Schizosaccharomyces pombe: one gene and its partners. Changing the gene in region 2 together with the main gene of any one other region gives a genetic interaction. Each region holds a gene or a part of one and is shown on either strand. Other genes may lie near its edges.

Evidence for each region. Genes that interact genetically often act in the same process or in processes that back each other up.
Region 1: of mga2 (region 2) and nem1, a mutation in one rescues a mutant of the other (synthetic rescue), as found in Schizosaccharomyces pombe (2 studies listed by BioGRID, with this or other methods).
Region 3: mutations in mga2 (region 2) and sac12 together harm fitness more than expected from each alone (negative genetic interaction), as found in Schizosaccharomyces pombe (2 studies listed by BioGRID).

What each region holds. Positions count from the first base shown.
Region 1 is NC_003423.3:3,371,127-3,376,250, reverse strand, and holds nem1 (Nem1-Spo7 phosphatase complex catalytic subunit Nem1), read right to left. Parts: upstream 2,950-5,124; 5' UTR 2,787-2,949; coding exon 1,356-2,786; 3' UTR 699-1,355; downstream 1-698. Other genes in the region: U3 snoRNP-associated protein Utp3, read left to right, coding at 1-690; RNA polymerase I transcription factor subunit Rrn6, read left to right, coding at 4,067-5,124. UniProt on the Schizosaccharomyces pombe protein: Catalytic component of the nem1-spo7 complex which acts as a phosphatase and may be required for proper nuclear membrane morphology.
Region 2 is NC_003424.3:4,123,147-4,129,454, reverse strand, and holds mga2 (IPT/TIG ankyrin repeat-containing transcription regulator), read right to left. Parts: upstream 4,373-6,308; 5' UTR 4,244-4,372; coding exon 788-4,243; 3' UTR 650-787; downstream 1-649. Other genes in the region: protein Gid5, read right to left, coding at 4,937-6,308.
Region 3 is NC_003424.3:2,060,875-2,065,858, forward strand, and holds sac12 (inositol polyphosphate phosphatase), read right to left. Parts: upstream 2,909-4,984; 5' UTR 2,768-2,908; coding exon 932-2,767; 3' UTR 699-931; downstream 1-698. Other genes in the region: eisosome BAR domain-containing protein Pil2, read right to left, coding at 3,979-4,984.

The DNA.
Region 1 (5,124 bases), on a different chromosome or scaffold from region 2:
ATTAATACTAATATTAAAAATCTCGATGACTATGGTGAAGGCAACAGATTGGACGATGTTGATGCTGAAGACAAGATTGCTAGGAAACGCTCTTTAAAGTTTTATGCTAATCAAATTGACCAAAAGGCAGCTAAGCGTTCCAGAGCGGTACTGGAGTTATCAGGTGATTTGGACATGCCATACAAAGAACGAAGATTTGAACGCCAGCAGCGATTGATGAGAGAAGCTGCAGCCAGGGGTCGAAATCAGGATGCTGGTGCTGATCTTGATGATGAAGATCCGGAATCAATGGGCATACCTGCAAATGTCGATCGTGAAGTTGAAGATCAAGATGATTTGGATTATTACGAGTCTCTCGATAAAAAATCAAAGATGGCTAAAAAGCTCCGTAAAGAAAATCACGATCTCGAACGTGATTTAATAAGAGCTTCAAGGCACCCAGAACTAATTGAATTAGGTGAAGGTGATAAGCGTGGAATTACTTTAGACATTGCTAAAAATAGAGGATTAACTCCCCGTCGACCTAAAGAAAATAGAAATCCTCGACTTAAAAAGCGTATGCGCTACGAAAAAGCTAAGAAGAAATTAGCCAGCAAAAAGGCTATTTACAAGGGCGCACCACAGGGCGGCTATGCTGGTGAGCAGACTGGTATTAAAGCTGGTTTAGTTAAAAGTATTAAACTTCAATAGAAGTGGTGGTTGGTATTGATTCAACTATTAATTCTGCATATATTAGGTTTTTTGAATTTTCGTGTTATTAGATACATATAATAATAATGTGGTTTTGGGTTATGTTATTTGCTAGAACAATGTCGTTAGCCTAGTGATATGATTTTAAAATGCTAAAAGTCTATGTAATCTGGTTTATAATCATTAAATCATTTATAATCCTTTGCCCATCCTGATTAAGTAAGTTGATTGTAATAACAGATTGAAAAGTAAAAAAAAAAGAATCAACACTTAAATAGAATAAACATGTTTATTAAAAGCTTGATTTAGAAAGAAATTTCATAAGTAAGTTGCCTTCGTAATTGCTGCGAACATCAGTGCAGAAACTAATCTTTCTTAAAACATGCGTTTAGTTTATTAGAAAGAATTTCTTACGATTAGGCTTACATTAATTGACATATTATCAGCAAAAAGAAACAAAAATTATTTAACTGGAATGGCCCAAATGCGGTCTAGGAAATATCCAAAAGGTACCCTTTTGAGGTTATAACAAAGAAGTTTGATGATGAGAAAGGAAAGGCACCCAAGATGTTAATGCAGTAGAAAAAGTTATTTTAGACCATCGTTACTGGTGATAAATAACGAGTAAATTACTCACGAAAAAAAAAAGGAATCATGAAAAGCACTTATTTTGCGAGACGAAGCCCCAAAAGATCTCGCACATCATGAACATATTGCAGTGCATGAAGAAAAGAAAGTAAGTTTAGTAAATCAACGTCAGAGGGGTCGCTAATCCAACCTTCAATAGGTATGGCATTTTCTTTATGAGCATTGTAACTGGCTGGAGAATTATCAATTATCATGATCCGTGAAAGATGAATATTACAAATGGAAATATCTTTAACGAAAGAACTATCGACAAGTGCACAGTGTTGACGGTAGTATCGTTTAGCAAATATTTTTTTATCACGCTCCAAATAATCAATTATTGGATCAGCATATGGCTGGACAGATGCTGTGAACAAAATAAGGCGAAACCATTGACTCACATTTGATAAAAAGTAGTCAAGATGAGGCCTTTTGTGAATATAGTAAAGGATTGGATGTTCACCAGGCACATGTACTTCAATTGGCTGTCCAGAAGTCGTTCGACTACCACGAGACACGGAATGGATAAGTGTTTCATCCAAATCTAATACAAGGGTCTTTCTCGGTAACTTGCTATTCAACAAAGGCCTCGGTATTTTGTCCGCACACAGAGTAATGTTTCTAATACGGAGACGGGAAGAAGAAGGAGATTTAAGAGGATCATTAACTATCGTAAAGGAGGAAGGCAGCTTAGAAATATTGTCATTAGCAGGCGGGGAAAACTGAGTTGATTGAGGTTGATGCGAATGTCCTGAACGATTGGAATTTGCTTTTCCCATTAGGGAGACCTCTTTGGGTTTCATAGGAGAAACACACACATCTTCTTCTGAATTCAATGAATTTGAAAAAGAATTGAAAGAAATTTCTTCTTCTGCAATAGAGGGCTGAAAACGAACATGATTTCCATTAGAAGAACTGCTATAAGAATTAGAAGATCTATGTCGTTTGAAAGATGAATAGGCAGGATCCTGGTGAGAGGATGGGTAAGAATAAGAAGAATAAAACCTAGGACGGCGGACACTTGGCTGAGGGGGAAGCATCTCTCGGCGTTTATACGATAATAATACAGGAAAAAAGACAAACCGGCATAGACCCCAAAAAAAACTTGCAAGGGTAAACTCTTTCTCTTCATTCAAAAAGTGGTACAAAAATACACGAGCGGAATGAACGAAAAACGTATAAATTCGTTTCAGGAACACACGAATCCAGTAGACGACAACACGCATAATGTTGGCATGCTTCGGTTTTTCATTCCTTGTAGGAACTTCCTTTTCCGTCGGTTTTGATGACAAACTGCTAAGGCTGGACGCCGAATAAGACGATCTACGACGATTATAATGCCTCAAAGTAGCTGATGAAGCTCGCCCCCGAGCATTAGCAAGTTTTTCTTTGTCAGCTTCATCGTCGTCTAAAGGAGTGGCAAGGATTGCTTTATTAATTTCATCTGATAGCCTAGCAATCGAATTCATTACAATTATTTTCTCTCTGCTGCGATTGCAAAGAATTAAAAAATTCACCAAAAGAAGCGATGCATACAAAGTATACAACGACCAAGCAGAGTCCTTTTAGTAAAAAAGAGTAATTAATTAAATATGTGTTAGTTAGACCTAAAATATGTGGGAAAACAAAGCCAGAATCACACGGTGGTACGATGCACAATATATATAATGATGAACTACAACCCAAATAATAACATTTTCATAAGACGTAATGCTTAAGAAGATATATCAAAACTACCTTAAAGTAACAAATTTAAATGTAAACAATACGGTGTAAATATTTATTAAGTTCGTAAAATGAAAGTTCATTGCAGAAGCTTTCATTTTTTTTAACTAATAAACTTTACTTGTATGGGTTTCTGTGCAAGAAAAATTAATTTTCATTTTATTAAAAGTCTAAATATTTGTAGAAGCTAGCTTAATTGCCATTCTTTTAATCAACGTTTTGCTAGAATGTAAGTCGCCGAGCGGTCTTTTTAGGTTTCTTGACATTACTTGAAAGATGCTTTTAAGTCTAAATATATTTAATGGTACGTTAAAATGTATCAAGCTCCTTTAGACGTTGCATACAATAAATTACTTACAAATAACAGGCTGAACTAACTTATTGACTTTACAAAATTATAAACATATCGATAAAATTGGTTAAGCGGACACTAAAGAGAATTCAAAACACTTGCTAATCTGAATATTGCACTCTTCCTCAGGTATCAGCACCTCCTTACGTATTTTTTATGAAAAGGGAAAACTGGGCTAATGCAACATTCGTAAACCAATTTATCTATTGCTAAATCATTCCAAAATCGTAAGCGTTTGCATTTCATTGTAAAGGAGATTGTTTTGTTGCTGTGTTAATCTACATGTAATTGATAGCAGCTTAGAGACTTCGGAGAAGAACTCCTCTCCTACTTGAACACTGTCTTATGACTAATTTAAGTATTACTTTTAAACTTCATCTTTTTCTAGTAAAGAGAAATTCTCAGTTAACATAAATCAATAAATTGTTCAATTGAAAGCATGTAGTCGGTAGGAGTTATATTTTATATAATTATATAATGGTTTAAAGATAGCACTTTAAATATATTATAGTATAACAATAAAGTCAAGTTCTTAACTATAGGTGAAATTACTCCAGCATTGCTTCCTTGAAACACTGATTACTTGCTTTGTCGCTAGGTTGCTCTTGTATTGTCGTTAGATGTGTTTTTGTAAACACAATTCAATCTAATTTTATTTTTCTAATTATCTTCATGTCAACATGGCCTATTGATGCAATTAGTAAAAAACCTAGTGTAAGTTTGGATTATGGAATTATAGGGGCGTGTCAACTTTTAAATCCATCTGGCTATCACAGAGCGGAGAAGGTTGAAAATAATGAATGGACTTTTGCTAGGTATGACTCCTATACGGGCGTCGAGCTTGTTGACTTGGACAAAAGATGGGATATCTTATCTTTAAATCCAAACTACAAACTCCCTAAATTAACTGAGCTTCCTGCTGAGGCCACCAATTCCACGCGTAAAGCGACTAGTAGTTCATTTGGTTTAAGTGTTTGCAGATATGTTCCGCGAAATTTATTTTCTACACTAGCGAAAGAGTCTCAATTAGCTTCTTCTGCTGAGTCTATATATAATCCACATATTTTAAATACTTTTTGCTTGGGTAAAACAGCGCCATCAGATAAAAACAGATACACCACAACTGAATGTCTTGCTTGTAGCAAGATTAGCAATGAAACTGCGGAAAATCTCCTCTTTTTATGCCTCTCGTCTCCATGGATTTTTCGTGCATCTCCGACATTACAAAATACTGCAACTTTTGAAGAATTCCCATTTTACTTGAATGTATCGGCTTTTGAGTTTGCTGAGGATCCAATATGGAAATTCTCACAACCAGTGAGACAATTGGTTTTCTCTAATGGAGAACCAAGTTTGCTCTTCGCATTATCGTCTTGTGAGTTGGTTATATTCCAGGTAACTTATGATTTAATGTTCTTAGATGAGCCAAATACACCTGGATGCTTGTCCGCTATACCTCTGCGTTTTTTGTACGCAGATGATGTTTATAATTCTGACTCGTTTGCTAACGTGTCTGTCCATCCCACCGATAATTCATTTTTTTTAACAACTTCATCATCTGGTAGATGGACCATCTGGCAATTCTTAGATGATGGGTACAGGGAATGCTTCGGTAGTTCTTTCAAAGAGTCTTTGCAACAAGCATTATGTTCTGCACCAACAAGTTCCATTGCTTATCACGAAGAAGAAATAAATCCCGATAATACAATATATAGAGCTAAATGGGAAGA
Region 2 (6,308 bases):
GAATTGGTAAAAGCTTTTTAAACCAAGACAACCCCTTGAAAGTGATGAACCTTCAGATTATTCAATAGACTGCGTGAGAGTTACTTGTTCAAGCTTGATCATTCCCCTTCTTCAAATTCCTAGGATGAACTAAGGGTTATTCAGTTTTATTTTACCAATAATGAATTTGTTTCTTTATCAAGCAAAAGAATGACCCACTCCTCAATCTTGAGGTTATGAGTGTTCATGGCTAGCTATTAAATGGATCGCCGTAAAGTCCTTAAGCTGAGCGCAGTTGTAAAACTTTAGACATATCCCAGTTTCTGCTAGGCTATTATTGAAAGAGTTTGCCGAGTATCAAGATTTACTAGTATTATAATAAGCAGATCGCATACCGGTTCATGCCAATTGGTACTTAAAAATTTTAATGTATGCGGTTCATCTCGAAAACTCAAGACGCTTACTTTAGCTAATCTAACGTTCAGTTTAGAAAAAGAATGCAATGCAAAAAGCGATAGCTTATTAAAAGACTTTCCTAAGGTATTGCATTCACGATCCAGAACAGCAAACCTGCAACGATCTATTTTGGTTTTAAAAGCGCCAACCTGCTCTATGCGTTTAAACCCATGTAAGTTTAACTTACAAAATAAGCAATTACTTTCAATATAATAAAAAATTGATCCAATCGAATATAATATATACGATTTCATTGTCATAATACCTAAGTTTTGACAGTAGTTTGCTCATAATCTACAAAAAAGAATAAAACTAAAAGAAAGAAAAAAACATGCATGGTTGTTCGTCAAACCTAAATGCCAATTATGCAGCGATATAAATATCCCCCGATCATTTGAGCATAGCTTCGAAGACCAAAGATACTCAGCAAAAGTAGGGCAGGTAACCAGAAAGAGAATAGCATAAAGTCCATTCCTGCCTTTTTCAGTGTCTTTGCCTGCTCCTGTATTGCTCTGGTTTCTTCAGGAGTAAGAGCAGTAGATTTTCCACGACCAACAAGCCGAGATTGCCATCTCAAAGACCACCAAACACTTTTGTGATGATCGGGATCTTCAGATATAGCGCTATCTCTTTTACTAGAACCAGCTTGCGCTGTCGTATCATCAGCAAACTCAGAATAAGGAGGGGGTACATCATCGGGAATGGCCGATATACTTTTTAAGGTTGACAGCATGGCTTTTTGCATCATGGATGGAACTTCACTCATATAATTCTGAGGTAGTTCTTGAAGCGATGGAAACATTGTAACAGTTTTATTCCACATACTTTCACTATATGACTTGGTCTGAACAGCAGATTCCTCAATTTCGTTAACAATACTGGTTGATTCTAAGGTTTCATTTGTATTAATGGAGCCTTCAGAATCCTTAATAAGAGAGCGAGAAATACTTTGGGCTTGTTCATTATTTGCTTCCTTAAAGACCAGTTTTATAGGCTCAGAAGAGGAGAGGTCTATCGGTTTTTTACCGCTAGCTCCTATAACATCAGGCTTGGCACCGTTGGAAAGTAAATTAACACATATGTCTTTATGATCATACAATGAAGCATAATGCAGTGGTGTATAGCCAAGTGCGTCCCTTTTGTTAACATCGCATCCTGCGTTGCATAAGAACGTCGAAGCATTAGACAATCCACAGGCAGCAGTAAGGTGGAGAAGTGACCTACCAGATTCGTTAACAAGACTAAAATCAGAAAGGTATGGTGTCGTTGTATCTGTAACAAGAGCAAATGCTGCGAGGATAGTACTTTCAACACTGTCATCAGACTGATTACTGTCTTTTTTCACAATCCGCGAAATAACCGATTTAAGCGATTCCATATTGCTATCATGCAATAAGGTTTTTTTAGACTGACCTTTAGATTCACTGTTAGGAGGCTGCTTAATAGAATTTGTTATATATTGAGCAAAATCGTCGCGCCATGAACTCAACAATTTTTTGGATAACGTTAATGGGTTTTGAATAGATCCAGTAAGTTTTAAGCCTAAAACTTGAACAGTTAATTTGTAAAGTTCATTATCTAAATTATCTTCATAAGTAAACATTACTGGCGCTTCAGAAGATGAATTATAGTTCTGAAAGGTTACAGGAACGGTTCCAGCATTAGTTGCAGGAGGACAAGTCGCTATAATCGTTGACTCACTCCACGAAAAAGTTACAGCAGCTGGGTTGTCACCAAATAAACAGACTAATCCATTAAAAAAGTTCGCGCCAAGAATTGTAACTTCATAACCTCCCATGATTGAACCCTTATTAGGAATAATCCGAGATATTAAGGGAGCATGTGAAACATCAGGTGGAGTCATGTTTATAAAAGAAGAATCAACATTTTCTTTTATCGGCGTACTTACAAAATCAGGTTTAGCAACCTCATCAAATTGTGTAAGCAAGTTGTTGACACTACTTTTTTCTTCAACGGAAAACGAGAAATCATCTGTACAGTAAGGGAATGGGGCTATTGGGGCACTTTCATTTGTATGGGCTTCAAGCACTCCTTCCTCTTGCTGTTGTCTTTGTTGGAAACCAGCGGCATCGCTGGGAACTCGAACAACATGGAAACCATTCTTTGAAATGGAAGGACTTACGCCGCTTGGGGTAGTCATACTCAGCACAGAAGGGGATTTGCTCATACTAAAGGCTGAGCCCTCAACACTTTTCAAAGTGCTTTTCGAATTAGGTGAATGCGAGTCACTAGCAGATAGTTGTATGTCGAGTGCTCTAGAATTTTCACTCGAGGATGTTCGACGACGCTTTTCATTTGGTGGATTATCTGAACGGGTAGGGAAACCAGTGACAAGATTGGGGACAGTATTGCTTTTAGAAAGAACATGGTTTGAAGGAGCTTGTTGAGAATTGCTCTTACCAGTCTTTTCTGATTTCGTAAGATTTCTACTTTTATGATCATCAAGAACGGTAACAGGCTCTGGAAAAACAAGACGATCCACCAAACGTGACATGGAGTATAAGTCCCATATGATGTGAAAGTAAGGGCATGATTGATGAGACGAGTAACATGTAATCCGTGCATTGATGTGAGCAACTCTTTCATTTCCATCCAATTGCAAACGAACGTACTCAGGTCCAGTAAAAACCATTATCATTCTATCTTCATCTATGTCTTCAAGTTTGGGAAATTGATTTAAGAGCTTGATCCTGAACTGCTGCTTTTCTTCGGGAGAGGCATCAGTCATGTTACGCTCATAAGCCTTCAGTTTAGTATAGTTAGGCATACAAGCATCCTTTGTTGCTTGAGATCGAGCATTGCGCTTCCTTTCTCGAAGTAAACAGCGAGTACAGCAAGTCTTAACAACTGAGCTTTTGTCACCTGCAAGAACGGTAGGTACAAGATGAATGACGGTCTCCGGATCGGGTTGCAAAGGCTGAGGTTTCGAAGAACGCTTTTTGTCTTCACGGTGAGCCCAACTTGGCAAGCGAAGATATTCAAACGGAACACTTTGATTATCGTTGCTCTTGATCCGCAACTCAAAAAGCATGTTAGTTTCCACCCGAGATTTCCATTTGTGCTCATTGATAGCTGGTAAATGATTAACTGAGAACGCGTACTCCTTATTAGAAAGAGGCGGTGCAGACGTATTTAAAGAGGAAAATGCATAATCTTCGGCATATGGCGTAAGAGTATTAATAGATTCGTTGAAGGGAGTTTCCAACATGGTAATCGGCTGTCTAAACTGTAATGGATCTTCGATGGCGCCCGATGACTTTACAGAATTAAATCCAGCTTCATAAGGTGCTTGTTTCATAGGATCCATTTTTAAAAGATAAACATCCGACTCTCCAAACATGGGATTATCTCCCAAAGGTTGATCAACGGTATTAGCTAGAAAATTAGCATCAGAAATAGAATGTTGCGGAGTAGGAAACACCGTTCTGTTCAAATGCAAACTAGGATTGATGTAGTCTTGCTGACGATCAGACGGTAAACATTCCGCTTCATCTTGTGAATTCGATAAGTTAGGTGAACTGGCATGGGATAAAGACGGAGGAGCTATACTAGGCAAATTTAGACCTTGATCCGGCAATCCATCGAAGTTAAAAAATTCACGCATTTCTGCATCGCCGTTTCCGGCTTTTTCAAAATCGGGAGAGGAAAACATATAATCATCAGAGGAAGACCTCCCCTCCTCTGAACTAAATTTCATGAGCTTGTTTACTTCCCAAGTTCCTTCTTCCTTAGTCGAATTCTCGGTATTTTTGGCGATCAAATTTCCAAAAGAAAATTCTAAATTCATCTTGAGAGTACTTTGAAATGCAATAGACTACCTTTATAAAGGCAATTCTTTCAAAGAATTTAAAGGTCTTTAATGTACTACTTCTTTTCAATTCTCACTTTTGCTTTCCTCCTCGATTAGTTGGTTGTTGGAAGCTGTCGCTGCGCTACTACACTAATCTCTTCCATCACGTTGTGCAAGTATTACATGCTTTCCACTTGAGCACACATTCTCTAGTATTACTCTTATTTTAACAAGTTATTATGTTATATTTATTTAAATAATTAGTTTGTGGGTTTTGTTTTTTAGTTCCGCCACTTTCTTCATATTCGATTAATTTCCTTTCGGCATTATATACCAACAAAAAAATTCCCAACATTCTGATAAATTTAGTAGAATACATGTAAATGAAATTGTTCTTGTCAAAGTACAACTTTCCTTAAAAAATTTTTACAATGTTAAATAGGTTTTTACACTATCCCGCATACATATAAGTTGAATGTTCATAATACTTATTTTATTCGTTTTGATAAATCATTAAATCTTTTTATATACGATCATTCTCAAAGTACTTCAATCCAACAACCTGTTAACTTCAGCTGCAAGAGTTGTGCACACATTTATACATACAGAAATACTAAATGCGAAAATGGCTCCGATTTGTTAGACTGTTCCAATCAAGTCGGCAAAGACAACGGAAAAGCGTAATAGAAATTAATCGGTTACATTGATGTACATCAAGGCATCTTTGACACGTTCCCTTACATCAGGAGATGAGTGATTTTGTAGCATCTGCAAACATTCTCCAAATCCGAGATTTTGTAAGATACTTGCTCTTTCCTTATCTTCCTGGCTTGGAGATGTACATTGTTTGGGCCATAGAATGTTAATACAGAGCCAAATTCCGGCCAACAGAATTTCGGAGTTTGGTTCATAAGTGTCCTCTTCATAAATATCGAAAGGAGGACGCATTTCCCTATCAAAATCATCTTCTTGCAAATCCATTTCACTGTCACTTTCCGGAGATGACACATTTGTGGACATTTGCTCGGGCTTGAGACGTTGTGCTTCTTGTAGCATAATTTCCTTCACCAATAGTAGTAGTTTGGTTTGCCTTAGGATAGAATCCCTAAGCTCACCATCGCTGGCAGCGATGTGCACCAAAATGTAAATACTGGGTTCAATTAGGATAGGATTTTTACTTTCTAATTTTTCAAGCAAAATTTTTGCTAACAACTCCATAGGAACCATTTTCAAAAGAAAATCCACGCTTTCTTCTTTCTGACATGTAAAATTTCGCAGCACTTGCAACATTTGCTCTTGGACCCCCAGATCTTCGTCATTGCAAAGTTCCACAAGCTTTGAAGCACCGATCTTTTTTAAAGGTTCAAGCTGGATCGTCTCATCATCACCAAATACAACATGCCGCAGAACCCACACGGTCTTCTTTCTTAGACTGCTATCTTTCGTACTAATATTTGATATCAAAGTATCAATGAAATTTGTAGTAAGGAATTTCTCTCTCAAAGGAGAAAACTTAAGTACCAAGTTACAAATGGCAGACGTAGCAGTCGATTTGACTCTAGTATCCGGGTCAGAAAGCAACTTTATTAATGGTTCGCTCACGTCTGCATCGGCAAGGCCCGTACGTAAAATGTAAACGCTTCTCGAGAGACTTAATAAGCATTCACAAGCAGCCTTTTTCACGCTGTTAGAATTGATTTTCAAAGCATTAATGATAACAGGCAAATATTTAGCATCAACTATTAGTTTTCTGTATTCATCTTTAGAAGTTGTTAATGCAGCAACGGCTAGCAAAACTGATTCTAAGATTAGGTTTTTTTGCTCCTTTTTGGTAGCAGGAAGATTAAAACAAACGCTGGATTGCAATTCATCGGATAAAAAATTAATTTCATTCTCTTCTTCTTTAGTTGCGTATTCTAGAAGATATTTGGCAGCATCAATAAAACCTGCATTTACAGCCGTCTTTTGCATAATTTCGTTTTCATTGATTATGATGGCGAGAATACGAGGAGCGATTTGTTTTGCTTCTCGAGATTCAAAAAATAAACGGATGAGAATGGGA
Region 3 (4,984 bases), 2.1 Mb from region 2:
ACGTGTAAGTTCAAGCTTAATATACTAAATTGCAGGTCTTCGTTACGCAGTATTATTGCGAGAGATGTTTACGCTTCCGTAAGCTACATTAAGTGATCTCAAGTCTTTGACTTGGTACTAGGAGTAGTTAAATCCACTATTAAAATAATATTCAAAATTAAGTGTGAGCATTTCCATTTCTATAAGCATAATTATGCTAAGCTGATTGTAAAAGTGTATATAATCATTTTCGTAATATTGTGGAGTTTTCATACAAAAACTGTCGGGTAAGGCATAACTTCATCATTTTTTCAGTAATGTGAATTGTGAATTAAGATTCTGGATTGGAAGTATTAGAAAACGTTGCTGAACTGTATGATCTTTTAAAAAATTCATTTTTATAACATGTTCATTGAAAATATTAAACCAGAATGCCCCTAAATTGGAAGAAGTATGTATCCTAAATATTGAACATGAACAACACTTATGAAATTGAAAGAAAGCTTGGCTTTTTCATATATTTCATTTACTGTTTAAAACCGAGTAAAACTTGAGTCAAAAGCCTCAGTGATTCAATGGTCAAAGTTGCCCAATATTTAACACTGACTTAATAAAAGTTAGAAATATTAATTTTGTCTGCTATATTTTTTTCGTGTGTTATCCATACTACAATAGTTTGTTAAGGGCTCTAACAATTATGAAAATCTTAAATTACTAATTGATATTGGTAGGAAGCTTGGAGCAATTAAAGAAAATAAAGTTACAATTACCAATCACGTAAAATGATCTGAATTAGTCACTTGATAAAGTTGGGTAGCATCGCTTTGTTCAGTAGCAAGATTGACATCTATGAAGTCTAATGAAATAAAGAGTGAACTTCGAGTGTTCAAAGAGCGTTTTCTGCTAATTAAGAGTTATAGCAATACTGTTCTTTAGTTATTGAAATGCACAGTTAGACACTTTTTTTGAAAGAGCCGGAACGCAAAAAACGAAACACTTTAAGAGTAATATTTCGGAAATGATTACGAAACGAAAACCAACCTCCCTTAGCATACGTTGGTAGTACTAGACGAGGCCAATTAACGTATTGTCTACGATGAAAATATAGGTAGATTCCAGCATTCACCATAGGGATAGAATATAACAGACGACAGAACAGACTTGGATTTCCAAATAATTCTTGTATAGTTAATATTATCGTGGTGAACAAAAAAATTCCAGGTGCCACAAATCTAGTCCAGTGAAAACGCAAAGGCAAGTCCGGAATCGAAAGTGAGTCGTAAGGACGAAATACTCCAAGACCCAAATCATAGCTATCTTGCAGCATACCGTCAAAAAAATTGTTAAGAATATATCTACGAAAGCAGTTTAATAAATCTTTGAAAGCTCCAAAAATGGTTCTCGTTCCATGGCGAGTCACATCGCCTTTTAAGGCCGGGGTACCAGTGTAGAGATCACTGATATAATCTCCAGTATTAGCCCATATTAAGCGAAAATCTTGTAAAAAACTATCATATTCTTCCAAACTCTCAGAGCTAGAAAGTACACCAATATCGTGTAATTGCATGTTTAGAATAAACTGTGCAATGCTAGTCTGAATGACGTTCGTCCGATCTAAGCAATCCATACAATTTGTCCTTACAAAGTTGGTTTGCATTGCAGTAGTTTTAGATCCATGCTCGGCATAATATTTTCCTTCTATCAAGAGACTTTGAATTTCAGCAAGAAACAAAGGGAGATTTCTACTTCCTTGCTTATGATAATCGTAGTAAACATAAGACAAAGGAGGGTTTTTATTTCGTTTACATAATTTTTCAAACCCAGACCGTAGAGGTGCTTCACGTCCTTTTTGGTCTAGAAGATTGACCACCACAAGATTGTCCCCATAATCGTTGGCAAGTTCTTGAAAATGCTTCCCAAACACAGTCTCGCTATAATCAAGAGGTTGTAAAGATAATAAAGGTCGATAATGAAGATCATTAACTTCGGCCCAGAACATGGGGATACTTCCTCGAATTTGAGTAAAAGAAAGAACCATTTGTTCTTCAAGGGTGATGGGTGATTCGATCATTATTATTTGTTCAATTTCATTAAAATTAGCAGCACTTCCTTGTGCGTTTACACCTCTGGTGAAATACCGCGTACCCGCATAGTCAGGAGAATGTCGTGTAATAACACACAGTCTAAGGTTATAAGTCTTTAAAAACGAGTTAGTAATGGCGATATTACCCTGAATCATCGGTTGAATCCATTCTTGAAAGCCTAAATCCTTATTCGTCAATTCAATTAATTCATGAAATGCATATTTATTCCAAAAAAAGCGGTAATTATATTTTGATGTCAGTTCAAAAGATTGGGTTAGTACGCGTAATCTTTGAAGGGAACAGGTTAGATCTAACGTTGGACTAAAAAGTATTTGGCCTTTTGACAAATGTTTATTGAGCAAACTGATATAATGTAGTTCTTCCTCATCTTTAATATTTAGCAGACCCGTGGAGAATGGAAGAGTCCTTGTAATTGGGAAGATAGCAAATTTCCTTGCCCGATAAATATTGTTTCCGAGAATTGCTGCATGCAAATCACAACTTGTAACAAGAACTACATATTTGTATATTTTCAATCGAATAAATCCATATAACTGAACGTTATTATAGTCAGGTGTCTTGCTGAGATCAAGAGAATTGCTCAAACTAAGGCATCCGTCGACTCTATCTATTCGAAGAGAAGCTTTTTTTTTGGAACATGATAGATAAATGCTGTCTGGAAATACTCTAACGTCCTGATTCATTATTTTGTTGTATTTGAGAAGCGTAGATGCTTTTCTGCTATAATGAACCCCGGACTAATGTATTTTCCAAATTAGGTCTCAAAAGTAAAAAATGAGAATGCTATATTTACAAAAATTCAAATCAAACTCTTTAATGTCCATGAAACGATTTTTGAAGGCTTGATTTCCAACGCAGCGCCTGAGTAACGAGTTCATTGTTACCTGAAGGTTTATGCAGCACGTTTTACAAAACGAACTTTCAGTGACAGTGTAATGTATGATATTATTAACAATTCTCATTGCACTATGTAATGATACGTAAAGTATCGCTATTCATTGTACCTTTGCTTTACAAGATAGGTCGTCTGGTGATGCTGATACTCCCCAATTACCTATATTAAGGCTGAACTACAAACTATAATTCGAAGAATAGGCAAACGAAAATCATAATACTGTATGATATTATTGATTTTGAGAGTAGCAAAAATAATTAATAATTCATCGTAGCGTTTTTCAGATATCACAGAAAACATACCATACTCTATCGCATAATCAAAATAGTTTACGAGCCTTCTTTGACTGCAAGTAACATATAGGCAATGTCGCTTTATATTTTGATACATAATTTCTATAAAAGTTAGGTGTTATATGATAACCAACTCTTCGAAAGGAAGCATATGTTTTGCTTTAATTAAGCTTTATTGATATTTTTACCGTTGTTAAATAATATATACTAAAGATCTGACCCAGTTGAATTTGCTATCTATGTTGTATTGCTTTTTACTAATACAACCGAACTGCCAATTTTTACATAAATATTTTATTAAATCGGATTGAGAAGTAAAAATTATAAAATCATACATTTAATAAAATCCTTTTTCAACACAAATAATCTCCATTGTTAATTAATTGCTTTAACCAACAACCTTGTTAAGCCTAATTTTGACCGCAGGAATTAAAAAAAAACACTAAATAAAAACAAGATAATTAAGAAACCAACATCTGCGAAACATAAAACTCGGTGGAAAATAAATATGGTTAAACGACATAGACACAAAAACAATGGTAATGAGAGTAACGTGAGTATTAGTTCGATAAGCATGCATATGTAGCAATAGCAAGTGCTTAACACGTGCTAGCAAATTATGTGAATTGACATGACAAAAAATTCACGTCAATTGATGAATGCGTAAGGATCACCAGAAATCGCGTGAATACACACCAAGACTTGCTTAAGCAGCAATAGGTTGTGCACTAGTGCTAGGCATAGACGTTTCAGCAACGCCTTGAGATCCTACTTCTTCATCATCCTCCTCGCCAATTTCAAAGTTATCAACAACTTGGGTGCTTTGAAGAATGTTTGGTTGAAAACTAGGTTGATAATCTTCTGTACCCATTTGAGAATATCTTTTACTACCTGTAGAGGTGTAAGAGTGTGTAGTGCCGGAAGTAGTTACACCATTCGCATGAGAGTAACGGCGTGGAGGTTCATTGATTACATCTGTGCGAGGAACGACACTAGCTTGAAATTGTGTTTGATAATGACTTTGAGAAGGCAAACCATCAATGTCGGTAAGGGGTTCAGGAGTTTGGAAAGGATTTTGCCAATTAGCCAACTCACGTTCAGCCTCAACAATATAGTCACGGGTTATGTTGTAACCATCGTAAATAGGGCGAGGCTCACCGGGAACAATGGGAGTATCGTCCAGGAGATCGAGGATCTTCTTGGCATACCCGCAAAGAATAGCAACCTTTTCAGAATGCTCAAGTAATGTACCAATATGAAGAGTAAAAGCACGTTTAAAGTTTTCGCGGGTAATGTTAGTTAACTGCGCTTCTGCAACCAAACACGCAGCTTCCTCACGAACTAGTTCCTGTTCCATAGTAATAAGCTTTGGGGACTCAGGATCACGGCTTCTAACATCATAAATGGAGTTAAGTAGCTTTTCTTTCTTAACACGGGTGGGTTGAACGCTAGCCTCAATATCACGGATGGTCTTCAGACTAACACGATATTGATCGTATCTGTCTACCATATGCTCCTCAAGTTCGCCAATTTCATATAAAAGTACACCAAGCTTATCACTGATATCGCTAATATCATCATCGCAATCTTCACCCCAATACGAAAGTTGATTGGCACATTCTTTGCGCTCCATGGCAACGTTTTCATAAGATCGAAGTAAATCCTTTTCCATCTTAACGAGAGCTGCAAGGCGTTTAGCCATTTCGGGAGTA